Linked DNA regions of Arabidopsis thaliana. The protein of the gene in region 1 interacts with the protein of each later gene in a pairwise test. Each region holds a gene or a part of one and is shown in the gene's direction. Other genes may lie near its edges.

Region 1 (6,793 bases):
AGAATATACTCCCAGATGCGTCCTCCAACAAAAGGAGCGAAAAACGCATAGTATGCTACACTCAATAAGCAGAACACCGTAATCGCAACCACCTGTTTCATGACCAAACGAAACAAATGAACTAAAACCCAAATGTTAGAAATTGGAGAAAATCAGAGAAAGGTTGAAATAAAAGACCTGAAATTTGTGAGCAGGAAGTTGCCAACCATGTTTCCTCACCATTTTTGCTTCCTCCCAAAGCTTGAACACACTCACGAATCACAAAATCTAAACGAAACCCTAACGCCGCCGCAAATCGTAAAAAGAGACAATTTTGCTTGCAGTTTTGCGAAACCCAGAAGGATATAAGAGAAACCAAGCTGAGAAAATATCTTCTTGGTCTTCGTATCTCTCCCTATCTAACTAACTATGGTAGGTCAGTCATAGTCAAGTGACGAAAGAGGAAAGTAAACTCCTGTAATATATTAAATTGAAAATAAAAGAAAAATAACGAATGTGAAATTAGAGATGACCTAAGCGAATTCAAAGTTAGCAAATTTAGAGTCGAATAGCGAAGAAAAAGCTTACTGTGTAGCCATGGCGGAGACCAAAGTAACTGGAGAAGGAAGAAGAGAGAGAGAAATGGAAGAAGGAATAAAAGAGAGAATTTTTAGAAGAAAGAAAAAAGACAAAATAGAAAAGCGTTGACAGGCTAAAAGAGCGAGACGGACAAATGAAAGTGGTTACTGGTTACTATTAGTACCAACGCTGGATTTTTAGCTTACGTGTCTATTTCACCTCTTTGATATTTTCTTTTTTTCCGTAGCAAATTTTAATTATTTTTAAATTATATAACCATTATTAATGATAATATGGTAGCTTAAAGTATTAATTAAATAATATAATTTTTATATAATATTAAAAAGTTCTCAGTAATACTTAAATATATATATATTAGAAAGTTATTTAATGTCTAAATTTCAGATTTTTAGAAGAATTTAGCCAAATTAAATCAAATATTAAAAGATTTTGCTGTTTAAAAAGGAATTAAATCAAAAAATATTAAATGAATTAAAAACAATTATCTTCCACTCCACATAAAAAAAAAGATATGTGAGTAGAAAAGAAAAAAAATATTAAAAGATAAGATGCAAACCCTGCATTTGTAACTCCATAACTAAATCTAAAAGCAAGTGACTCAGAGCACAACTCTCGTACAATTTGCCCTACAGTTTTATTTATATTTGGTGGCAAATGTCAGCTCTGTTTTGATGTGAAAGCCATCAACATCATGTAATTGATTAGCATATTACATATAGAATATGAGATACCCACATATATATAGAAAAAATGACGGTAAAGATTAAAAAAAAAAGTATACTTGATTTGTCATAATAAGAATAAGCATGTATCTCATATGTACAAAAATAGATTTAATGTTATTTATTTTAATATTCTTGTATTTTTTGTTTTATTTGAACTTATAATAAAAAAAAAACTGTAGATATTAATAGTTATGTAAAAATCATAAAAATAGATGTAAAAATCATATTAAAAGTTATGATAAATTTAGTTTACTACATAACTCTTTTGAAAAATGTGGAAAAATTATAGTAAACTGTATGAAAAGAAGATTATCATACAGTTAAAATTAAAATCTTTTAGAACATGTGTAGTGGTGGTTTCTAACCAAAGTTTTTAATTTACTAAAGTAATAATAATAAAAAAAATATTTAATTTGAAGAGTTTTTTAAAATAGTTTTTTCAAATCTTTTAAATTAAAAACTTTCTCATATTTTCTTAGAAATTGTTTTAATTAAAAAAATATTGTTTATTATTTTATTATTATTAATGTAGGCGAGAGATTTTGGTAAAAAATCACAATGCTGATGCTTTTAAAATAATCAATTTTTCTAAGAATACATAAATCAGCAATGCTTCTCACACGCCAAACGTAAATATAGACGCGATTATGAAAAAAAATCGCGTCGAAAACAAACGTCATTATGTCATTACACGTGTTACCAATCAAAAAGCCTTTATGTTTAATTAGTAAAGGCTAGTAAGAGATTTACAACAAATGAAAAAAATAAAAATAAAAACATAATCCAAGATCCCTAAAAATTCCCAAAAAGAACCCTAGATTTTCTCCTCTCACGCTCCTTGGTTCCTCACTCGCTTTTGCTTCCCCACTCGCCTGCTTCGTGTTCTTCTTTGCTTTGCTCTTTTCACGTCAGAATTTTGCCTTCCCTCCCTTTGTCTCTCTCTGGGTGGCCGAGAAAATACAGTAAAAAGCCCTCACCAATCCAAAAGTTTGACATTTCCTGAATTTTGTAGTCTCTTCATTTGAATTCTCAGGTTTTCTCTTAAGATACATTAAAGTCTCTGTCTTTTATGCTGATACTAATGAAAGTTCAGTTCTTTCACTGAAATTTTAGAACCAGAACTTTTCTACTACTAGAAGTATGTTGTCTCTGACTCTCTTAGTTTGAGTTCTCAGGTCTCCTTCTCTTATTTGTGTGAAATTTTACTCTTTTTTGGCTTTAGAAACAGAACTTTTCTACTATTAGAAGTTATGTTGTTGAAAGTTCTTCACTTTCATTTGATTCCATTGATTTCATATTGCTTTGTGTGTTTCAAGTTTGATGTTTTTAGGTAGAAGATGTCGCGCTGGTTCTTATGAAGTTTGGTTGTGACATTTTTCAGGTGCTAAGGTGGATTATCTAGTAGAAAGATTTCAGTTTCCAATTTCATGGAAGCCCATAGTGGGGTAGTTGCTTTTGAGTGTGTTAGTGAATCCATATGTGGCTAAGGTTAGGATGGATTTGCAAGAGAATCTGGTTAGTGATGCAGGGGATGACCATATGGTTGACATTGTAGTTGAACCGCATAGTAACAGAGATATAGGAATTGTTGATGAGTTCAATATAGGTGGAGATGTTGGATTTAGTGGTGATCTGGATCTTGAGCCACGAAATGGTATAGACTTTGATACCCATGAGGCAGCGTATATCTTTTATCAGGAATATGCAAAATCTATGGGTTTTACTACGTCGATTAAAAACAGTAGACGTTCCAAGAAAACTAAAGACTTCATTGATGCTAAGTTTGCTTGTTCCAGATATGGTGTGACTCCTGAGTCTGAGAGTAGTGGTAGTAGTAGTCGAAGGTCAACTGTGAAAAAAACAGATTGCAAGGCTAGTATGCATGTGAAGAGAAGACCAGATGGGAAATGGATCATTCATGAGTTTGTAAAGGATCACAATCACGAACTTTTACCTGCCCTTGCTTATCATTTCCGGATTCAGAGGAATGTCAAGTTAGCTGAGAAGAATAATATCGACATTCTGCATGCGGTTAGTGAACGGACCAAAAAAATGTATGTTGAAATGTCGAGACAATCTGGCGGATATAAGAATATCGGGTCTCTTCTTCAGACCGATGTCAGCAGTCAGGTTGATAAGGGTAGGTATCTAGCTTTGGAAGAAGGAGATTCTCAAGTACTGCTTGAGTACTTCAAGCGTATCAAGAAAGAAAACCCTAAATTCTTTTATGCTATAGACCTGAACGAGGACCAACGTTTAAGAAATCTGTTTTGGGCTGATGCCAAGAGCAGAGATGACTATTTGAGTTTCAATGATGTTGTATCCTTTGATACTACTTATGTCAAGTTTAACGATAAGTTGCCACTAGCTTTATTTATTGGGGTGAACCATCACTCCCAACCTATGTTACTAGGCTGTGCATTGGTTGCTGATGAGTCTATGGAGACTTTTGTGTGGCTGATAAAAACATGGCTACGAGCAATGGGTGGTCGAGCTCCTAAAGTTATACTCACTGACCAAGATAAATTCTTGATGTCTGCTGTTTCAGAGCTCCTACCAAACACTCGTCATTGCTTTGCGTTATGGCATGTTTTAGAAAAGATTCCTGAATATTTCTCACATGTGATGAAACGGCACGAGAATTTCTTACTGAAATTCAACAAATGCATTTTCAGATCTTGGACAGATGATGAGTTTGATATGAGGTGGTGGAAAATGGTCAGCCAGTTTGGACTTGAGAATGATGAATGGCTGCTATGGTTGCATGAACATCGCCAAAAGTGGGTGCCCACATTTATGAGCGATGTGTTTCTGGCAGGCATGTCGACATCTCAACGTTCAGAAAGTGTGAACTCTTTCTTCGATAAGTACATCCATAAGAAAATCACGCTGAAAGAGTTCTTGAGGCAATACGGTGTGATTCTGCAGAATAGGTACGAAGAGGAATCTGTTGCAGATTTCGATACTTGCCACAAGCAACCTGCATTGAAGTCCCCCTCGCCCTGGGAGAAGCAAATGGCAACAACTTACACCCACACAATATTTAAGAAATTTCAAGTCGAGGTCTTGGGGGTTGTCGCTTGCCATCCTAGAAAGGAAAAAGAAGATGAAAATATGGCGACGTTTAGAGTTCAAGACTGTGAAAAAGACGATGACTTTCTTGTAACGTGGAGCAAAACTAAGTCAGAACTTTGCTGCTTCTGTCGTATGTTTGAATACAAAGGGTTTCTTTGTCGGCATGCTTTGATGATTCTGCAGATGTGTGGTTTCGCCAGCATCCCGCCTCAGTATATATTGAAAAGGTGGACAAAAGATGCTAAGAGTGGAGTATTAGCTGGTGAAGGAGCAGACCAGATACAGACCCGAGTTCAGCGCTATAACGATTTGTGTAGTCGAGCCACTGAATTGAGTGAGGAAGGTTGTGTGTCAGAAGAAAACTACAACATCGCATTGCGCACACTAGTCGAGACCCTGAAAAATTGTGTTGATATGAATAATGCTAGAAACAACATCACTGAGTCTAATAGCCAGCTTAATAATGGTACTCACGAAGAAGAAAACCAGGTAATGGCTGGGGTAAAAGCAACAAAAAAGAAGACTGTATATAGGAAAAGAAAGGTATGCTTTTACTGAAGCTTCTCGCCAATCTAAACCTACGTACATTTTCTTAGCTTCAAAGGTTAAAAAGAAGATACTCAAATTGATCTTATGCAGGGACAACAAGAGGCTAGCCAAATGCTTGAATCTCAACAGAGCTTGCAACCAATGGTTTGTGCTTTGATTTGATCTTCTCTAATTAGTTTGATCATTGTAACTGCACATTGCTTTATGAGATTAAGAGTAGGATGTCTTGGATATATGGCCTTATAGTTTTAACATTTTGTGCAGGAAACTATAAGTTCAGAGGCGATGGACATGAATGGTTACTATGGTCCTCAACAGAACGTTCAAGGACTGGTATGCTATGTTAGTTGATTAATACAAACCTGGTTAAGCCATTCGACATCTATTATAAACCCTAATACTAAACCTGTTTAAACTGTGGATATAGTTAAATTTAATGGAGCCACCTCATGAAGGCTACTATGTAGATCAACGAACCATCCAAGGCCTGGTAGGTTACATATAGTTTAAATGCTTGAATCTCCCAAATCTGTGCTAGAGTATAAGTCAACGACATGAATTTTGGTTCTTTTGACTCTTCAGGGACAACTGAATTCGATAGCACCGGCGCAGGATAGCTTCTTCACGAATCAGCAAGCCATGTCTGGGATGGTGGTACATTATAAAATCCTTCAAACTGATTTTAAAAACTGTGTTATGAATGATCGTGTTGTTAACATCTTTTGTTTATTGTCCGGTCCAGGGTCAAATCGATTTCAGACCTCCTCCCAATTTCACTTACACTTTACAGGTCTCAGCTGCCTGGATAAAGTCTTTACTTTAGTATCATTTTGTACTCGAACCACACGTGTTGATATCGTTAAATCTTTTCGTTATTCCAGGAAGAGCATTTGAGTTCTGCCCAATTACCTGGTAGTTCATCAAGGCAGCTATAGTAGCAACACGTTTTGATTACTTTGGAGAGAAGTTTTGTCTCAGGAAACATTTGCAAGAAGCTGTTCCAAACATGAGAAAAACACAAGATCTTTCATGGAGCTGAGTTGCAATGACAAGATGTAATCTTTTCTTAAATTGGTTTCTGTATATTATGGGATTGCCTTATGATGTATTAATGTGGGATGAAATATTGTGTTATCTGATTGAATGTCTTGAGATTTAATAGATGCACTTGTAACAACATCTTTATCTAAACACATAGAAATCTATCCTCTGTGTATTAGTCAAACAAGTAATTTTGAGATCACATTAAATCAAAATTGTTAAAACAGGTTTCAACTTATTTAGTAGAAACAAAAAGTTATTTTTAGATTAAATGTGGTTAATTTGGTTAAATACACATTCCCTGGTCGTTGTCGTATGTAGGTGTGTCCCTTTTGACAAAACAAACAAACAGAAAAGGTTTCTTTATTCAGACAACATCAAAACTGGGGAAGAACCAAAACTAATAGAGTTGGTCAAAAGAAACATTTGCAAAAAAAAAAAAAGAGAGGCAAAGATCTCGAGAGATTTCAATTTTCAATGGAGAAAGTGAATCAAACCTTCTTCTTATCTCATGGATCTCCAACTTTGAGCATAGATGATTCCTTGGAAGCGAGACAATTCTTCAAATCATGGACTCAAAAAGTTCTTCCTCAAAAACCCAAATCGATTTTAGTCATCTCTGCTCATTGGGACACCAAATTCCCATCTGTCAACACTGTTCTTCGCAATAACACGATCCACGATTTCTCTGGCTTCCCTGATCCTATGTACAAGGTAAAACCAAAAAAAATATAACTTTTTGTCTCAACAGATTTTTAGGGCTCTTAGATCGTTGAAGGATGCATAAAGTTTTGATTTTTAAATGTTTAAATCATCTCTCTTGG
Region 2 (4,758 bases), 8.6 Mb from region 1:
TGTGATCTCCTAATAATAATTGATCAATTTTTGTCTAATCTAACTAATCATCATCCTAAAATCTAATACAAAATGAACGACGCAATCATTTATATATGGTTACATGCATACAAACTCTAACACGTTATCCTTCAATATAAATTATTGTTTGACAAGATTAATATATTTAGCTGACTTGTTTCTTCCTCTAATTATGGCAAAGCACGATTCTGTTCATCATACGAACTATCCGATTGAGTGGGGTTGGGTGTGTTGCTTGTGATGAAGGGTGCCTTGAGACGAGAGAAAAGAACATGTTTTCACCACGTAACTTACTTCACCCTCACGAAGTTAACACACACATATATTTAGTATTCCAATATACCAAATATTATATTAATATATCATGAAACTTGAAAATGTGTTGGTGTATTATGTATGTCAATAAGAAATAATATTAATACAGTTTCGCGATCATTTCAAGATTTATAATAATTTTGTATAAGAAAGAAAAGTGTGAGAAGTAGTTGTTAGCAAATCACATGGGAACATATAAACTAATTAAATCTTAAAAATGAACATTTTAACTTTTTGTTGTTATATAAAGTAAGTTAACTATCAATAATCATCAAATATTTATGGTACTTAACAAGTATTATAATATGGGACTAAAAATTACTATACAAGAAACTGAACTCTGTGTTTTTTTGTGCGGTCATAATTCGCATATAAAAGATAGATTCAGAATCTGATATTGTTTATACTTTTTTTTTTTTCTTTGATATTGTTTATACTAATGAATTGGTTTGCATAGAAAAGTAAATGCTTTTTCATTATCATGAATACATGATAATGAAACTGTCGCCATTCATTGCAAAATTGGTCCGATTTTAATCTGTCTTCATCAATTACCCACCTCTCTTTCTTGTTGTTTTTTCTGATTGCTTTATTCATTTATTTATTATAGGGTTTTCCATTGGTAGATATATTTATATATGTATATATATGGTGATTGGTGACTTCCATTGTCTGCTCAATAAAGGACTACCACTCGTTCTTTCTCAATCTCTCGTGCATTTAACTTGTCACAGAAGAAACATCATTCACAGATCTTCAATCACTTTTTTCCTTCAAACGAAAAGATGTACCAAAGAAAGTATGTTTTTATATACACGTAAATATATATATAACTCCTTCTTTGTTATAAGTAGTACATGAATGTTTCAGATAATGACGATCATTCGTATCTCGTTAAGTTAAAACAAGAAAAACAAAACAGATATTTTTGATGTAACTCCAATATATACATAGTTTTTGTTTCCACTTTGTTTAGATTTATAAATTTAGATTATGTCCGTAGCAAAAAAAAAAAAAAAAAGGAAACACAAATTAATATAAGCACTGCAATATGTGGTTTAGCTCGTACAATGGATTGGGTGATTTGAGTGGTTAATTTGATAAAGATGATCCAAAAGCTTGTCCAAACCCTAAAACAAACTATTGGGGACAAAGATCACACAAAAGGAAATAACGACAGCACCTTTGAGATAAAACAAAACAAAACAATATCCCAAATATAGTTTGCAAGCCACAAAGTTTTAATCATGAAAATAAATTATAAGAAAACAAAAACATTCCCAATATATTATGACATCCTTTTTTTTTTTTGGGCAAGTATTATGACATCTAAATATACAGTACAACATCAAAAATATGGGGAAAATGTTTTTTTTTTTTAATAGTTTCTAGTAATTCAAGAAGACAAATACAATATTTAAAAATATATCATAACATTTAGTATTTTTGTTTACCATCATGTTCATGTCACTGAAAGGAGTTTGCAAGCCACGCGCGTGATGTAAGAGTGGGGTTGTAATAGAAGACATAGTTAAGATTAGAAAGCAAAGATTAACAAAATGTTGTGTAAGAGAAGCTGATGAATTGTTTAATCAGCTAAGTTAATGACAAAGGCAAAATGATAGGAAACGGAAATAAGAGAGAAAAAGAAAGGAGGAAGCCCACTTTGCCACTTTAATATCTTGCACGCATCCAATATACCTCACCACACCACATCACAACAACGAAGAAGAAGAAGAAGAAGAAGAGCTTCAAGAAGACAAATACACTATTTTTTATCGTCTGCAATGCCCTTACCCTTTGAAGAGTTTCAAGGGAAGGGGATTTCTTGTTTCTCTTCTTTCTCGTCTTCCTTCCCCCAACCACCGTCGTCTCCGCTTTTGAGCCACCGCAAAGCAAGAGGCGGCGAAGAAGAAGAGGAAGAAGTTCCCGCGGCGGAGCCTACCTCTGTTCTGGACTCCCTCATAAGCCCAACCTCTTCCTCCACGGTGTCTTCCTCTCACGGCGGAAACAGCGCCGTCGGAGGCGGCGGCGACGCCACCACCGATGAGCAATGCGGAGCCATTGGGTTGGGTGATTGGGAGGAGCAAGTTCCTCATGACCACGAACAGAGCATTCTCGGACTCATCATGGGAGATTCCACAGATCCCTCTCTTGAACTCAACAGCATTCTCCAAACATCTCCCACCTTCCACGACTCTGACTACTCATCACCCGGTTTCGGAGTCGTCGACACCGGCTTCGGTTTAGACCACCACTCTGTTCCGCCGTCACATGTTTCCGGTCTTCTGATCAACCAAAGTCAAACCCACTACACACAGAATCCTGCGGCTATCTTCTACGGCCACCACCACCATACACCTCCGCCGGCAAAGCGGCTCAACCCTGGTCCCGTGGGGATAACAGAGCAGCTGGTTAAGGCAGCAGAGGTCATAGAGAGCGACACGTGTCTAGCTCAGGGGATATTGGCGCGGCTCAATCAACAGCTCTCTTCTCCCGTCGGGAAGCCATTAGAAAGAGCAGCTTTTTACTTCAAAGAAGCTCTCAATAATCTCCTTCACAACGTCTCCCAAACCCTAAACCCTTATTCCCTCATCTTCAAGATCGCTGCTTACAAATCCTTCTCAGAGATCTCTCCCGTTCTTCAGTTCGCCAACTTTACCTCCAACCAAGCCCTCTTAGAGTCCTTCCATGGCTTCCACCGTCTCCACATCATCGACTTCGATATCGGCTACGGTGGCCAATGGGCTTCCCTCATGCAAGAGCTTGTTCTCCGCGACAACGCCGCTCCTCTCTCCCTCAAGATCACCGTTTTCGCTTCTCCGGCGAACCACGACCAGCTCGAACTTGGCTTCACTCAAGACAACCTCAAGCACTTCGCCTCTGAGATCAACATCTCCCTTGACATCCAAGTTTTGAGCTTAGACCTCCTCGGCTCCATCTCGTGGCCTAACTCGTCGGAGAAAGAAGCTGTCGCCGTTAACATCTCCGCCGCGTCCTTCTCGCACCTCCCTTTGGTCCTCCGTTTCGTGAAGCATCTATCTCCGACGATCATCGTCTGCTCCGACAGAGGATGCGAGAGGACGGATCTGCCCTTCTCTCAACAGCTCGCCCACTCGCTGCACTCACACACCGCTCTCTTCGAATCCCTCGACGCCGTCAACGCCAACCTCGACGCAATGCAGAAGATCGAGAGGTTTCTTATACAGCCGGAGATAGAGAAGCTGGTGTTGGATCGTAGCCGTCCGATAGAAAGGCCGATGATGACGTGGCAAGCGATGTTTCTACAGATGGGTTTCTCACCGGTGACGCACAGTAACTTCACGGAGTCTCAAGCCGAGTGTTTAGTCCAACGGACGCCAGTGAGAGGCTTTCACGTCGAGAAGAAACATAACTCACTTCTCCTATGTTGGCAAAGGACAGAACTCGTCGGAGTTTCAGCATGGAGATGTCGCTCCTCCTGATTTCCACCGGAGTTTCAATTATTAAAAAAATATTTTCCTTAATTCAATTTATCTTAAATGACAAATTTTTAGTTTCTGATTTTATTTTGCTCAGTGCGATGGATTTTTAAATTTAAGTTTCACACAAATATATAAATTTTTGTGAGAAGTTAATTAATTGTCTGATTATCAAACACTTATTGTATAACACATTCAATATATATTAATTGTGGGGATTATTTTTGATCGACTAAATAACGTGATAGAATAATGCTTGGATTAGCTCAATACTATATTTTTCTAATTAAAAATGAATGGGGTGTTGATTTTGATGCGAGGCAGAAAGCTACTGCTCATTATTGTGATTATATGATTATATAATGGTTAGAGTTTGTTGTGGTTTGTGTCTTTGCGAGGGGTCTATTTTTAATTTATAAACATATGTCTCCATGATGTCACATGGGTCTTGTATTATTTTATTTATTTGGACCACAATACATTTTTGTGTGCGCCGTTTCTAACCTTTTTTTTTCTCCGACGAAACAAAGGTTTGCTTTTTCTCCTTTAAATGGTCCATACGCATTACATATATAATGCGCCCATTTGCTTTACGCATTAACTGCATTTCTCTATAGAAATATTTCAGAAACAAACCAAGTGTATACAATACATCAACATGTTTTTTTTGGGGTTTTAATGTGAAGATTTCATTTCAATAAAAAGATTACAAGCTAATCTAAGTAATACAAACCAACATATTTTGGTTTACTCTTTATATTAAAACATCATTTAGGATAATTATTTAAAATATATATTCAAACATCTAAGGTCCTAATTAAGCATTACAAAAGATTTCCGTTTTAGAAACATATCAAGAGTTGATTAAATGGAGAAAGACGACTAAAATTTGTGAGTGAAAAATGACAATATGCCGCAAGTTATTGTCTCTTGTGCAATAAACGTTGGTTGGATACAGACA

The links. The genes of interacting proteins can lie anywhere in the genome.
Region 2: the proteins of FAR1 (region 1) and HAM3 interact in a two-hybrid assay, tested with the Arabidopsis thaliana proteins (one large-scale study listed by BioGRID).

The regions. Positions count from the first base shown.
Region 1 is NC_003075.7:8,612,008-8,618,800, forward strand, and holds FAR1 (FRS (FAR1 Related Sequences) transcription factor family), read left to right. Parts: upstream 1-2,052; 5' UTR 2,053-2,266; exon of another isoform or gene 2,267-2,685; 5' UTR 2,686-2,798; coding exon 2,799-4,922; intron 4,923-5,018; coding exon 5,019-5,072; intron 5,073-5,192; coding exon 5,193-5,261; intron 5,262-5,355; coding exon 5,356-5,418; intron 5,419-5,510; coding exon 5,511-5,582; intron 5,583-5,670; coding exon 5,671-5,718; intron 5,719-5,809; coding exon 5,810-5,863; 3' UTR 5,864-6,163; downstream 6,164-6,793. Other genes in the region: AT4G15080 (DHHC-type zinc finger family protein), read right to left, coding at 1-92, 178-222; catalytic LigB subunit of aromatic ring-opening dioxygenase family, read left to right, coding at 6,447-6,683. UniProt on the Arabidopsis thaliana protein: Transcription activator that recognizes and binds to the DNA consensus sequence 5'-CACGCGC-3'. Activates the expression of FHY1 and FHL involved in light responses. Positive regulator of chlorophyll biosynthesis via the activation of HEMB1 gene expression.
Region 2 is NC_003075.7:56,471-61,228, reverse strand, and holds HAM3 (GRAS family transcription factor), read left to right. Parts: upstream 1-1,733; 5' UTR 1,734-2,123; coding exon 2,124-3,800; 3' UTR 3,801-4,089; downstream 4,090-4,758. UniProt on the Arabidopsis thaliana protein: Probable transcription factor involved in plant development.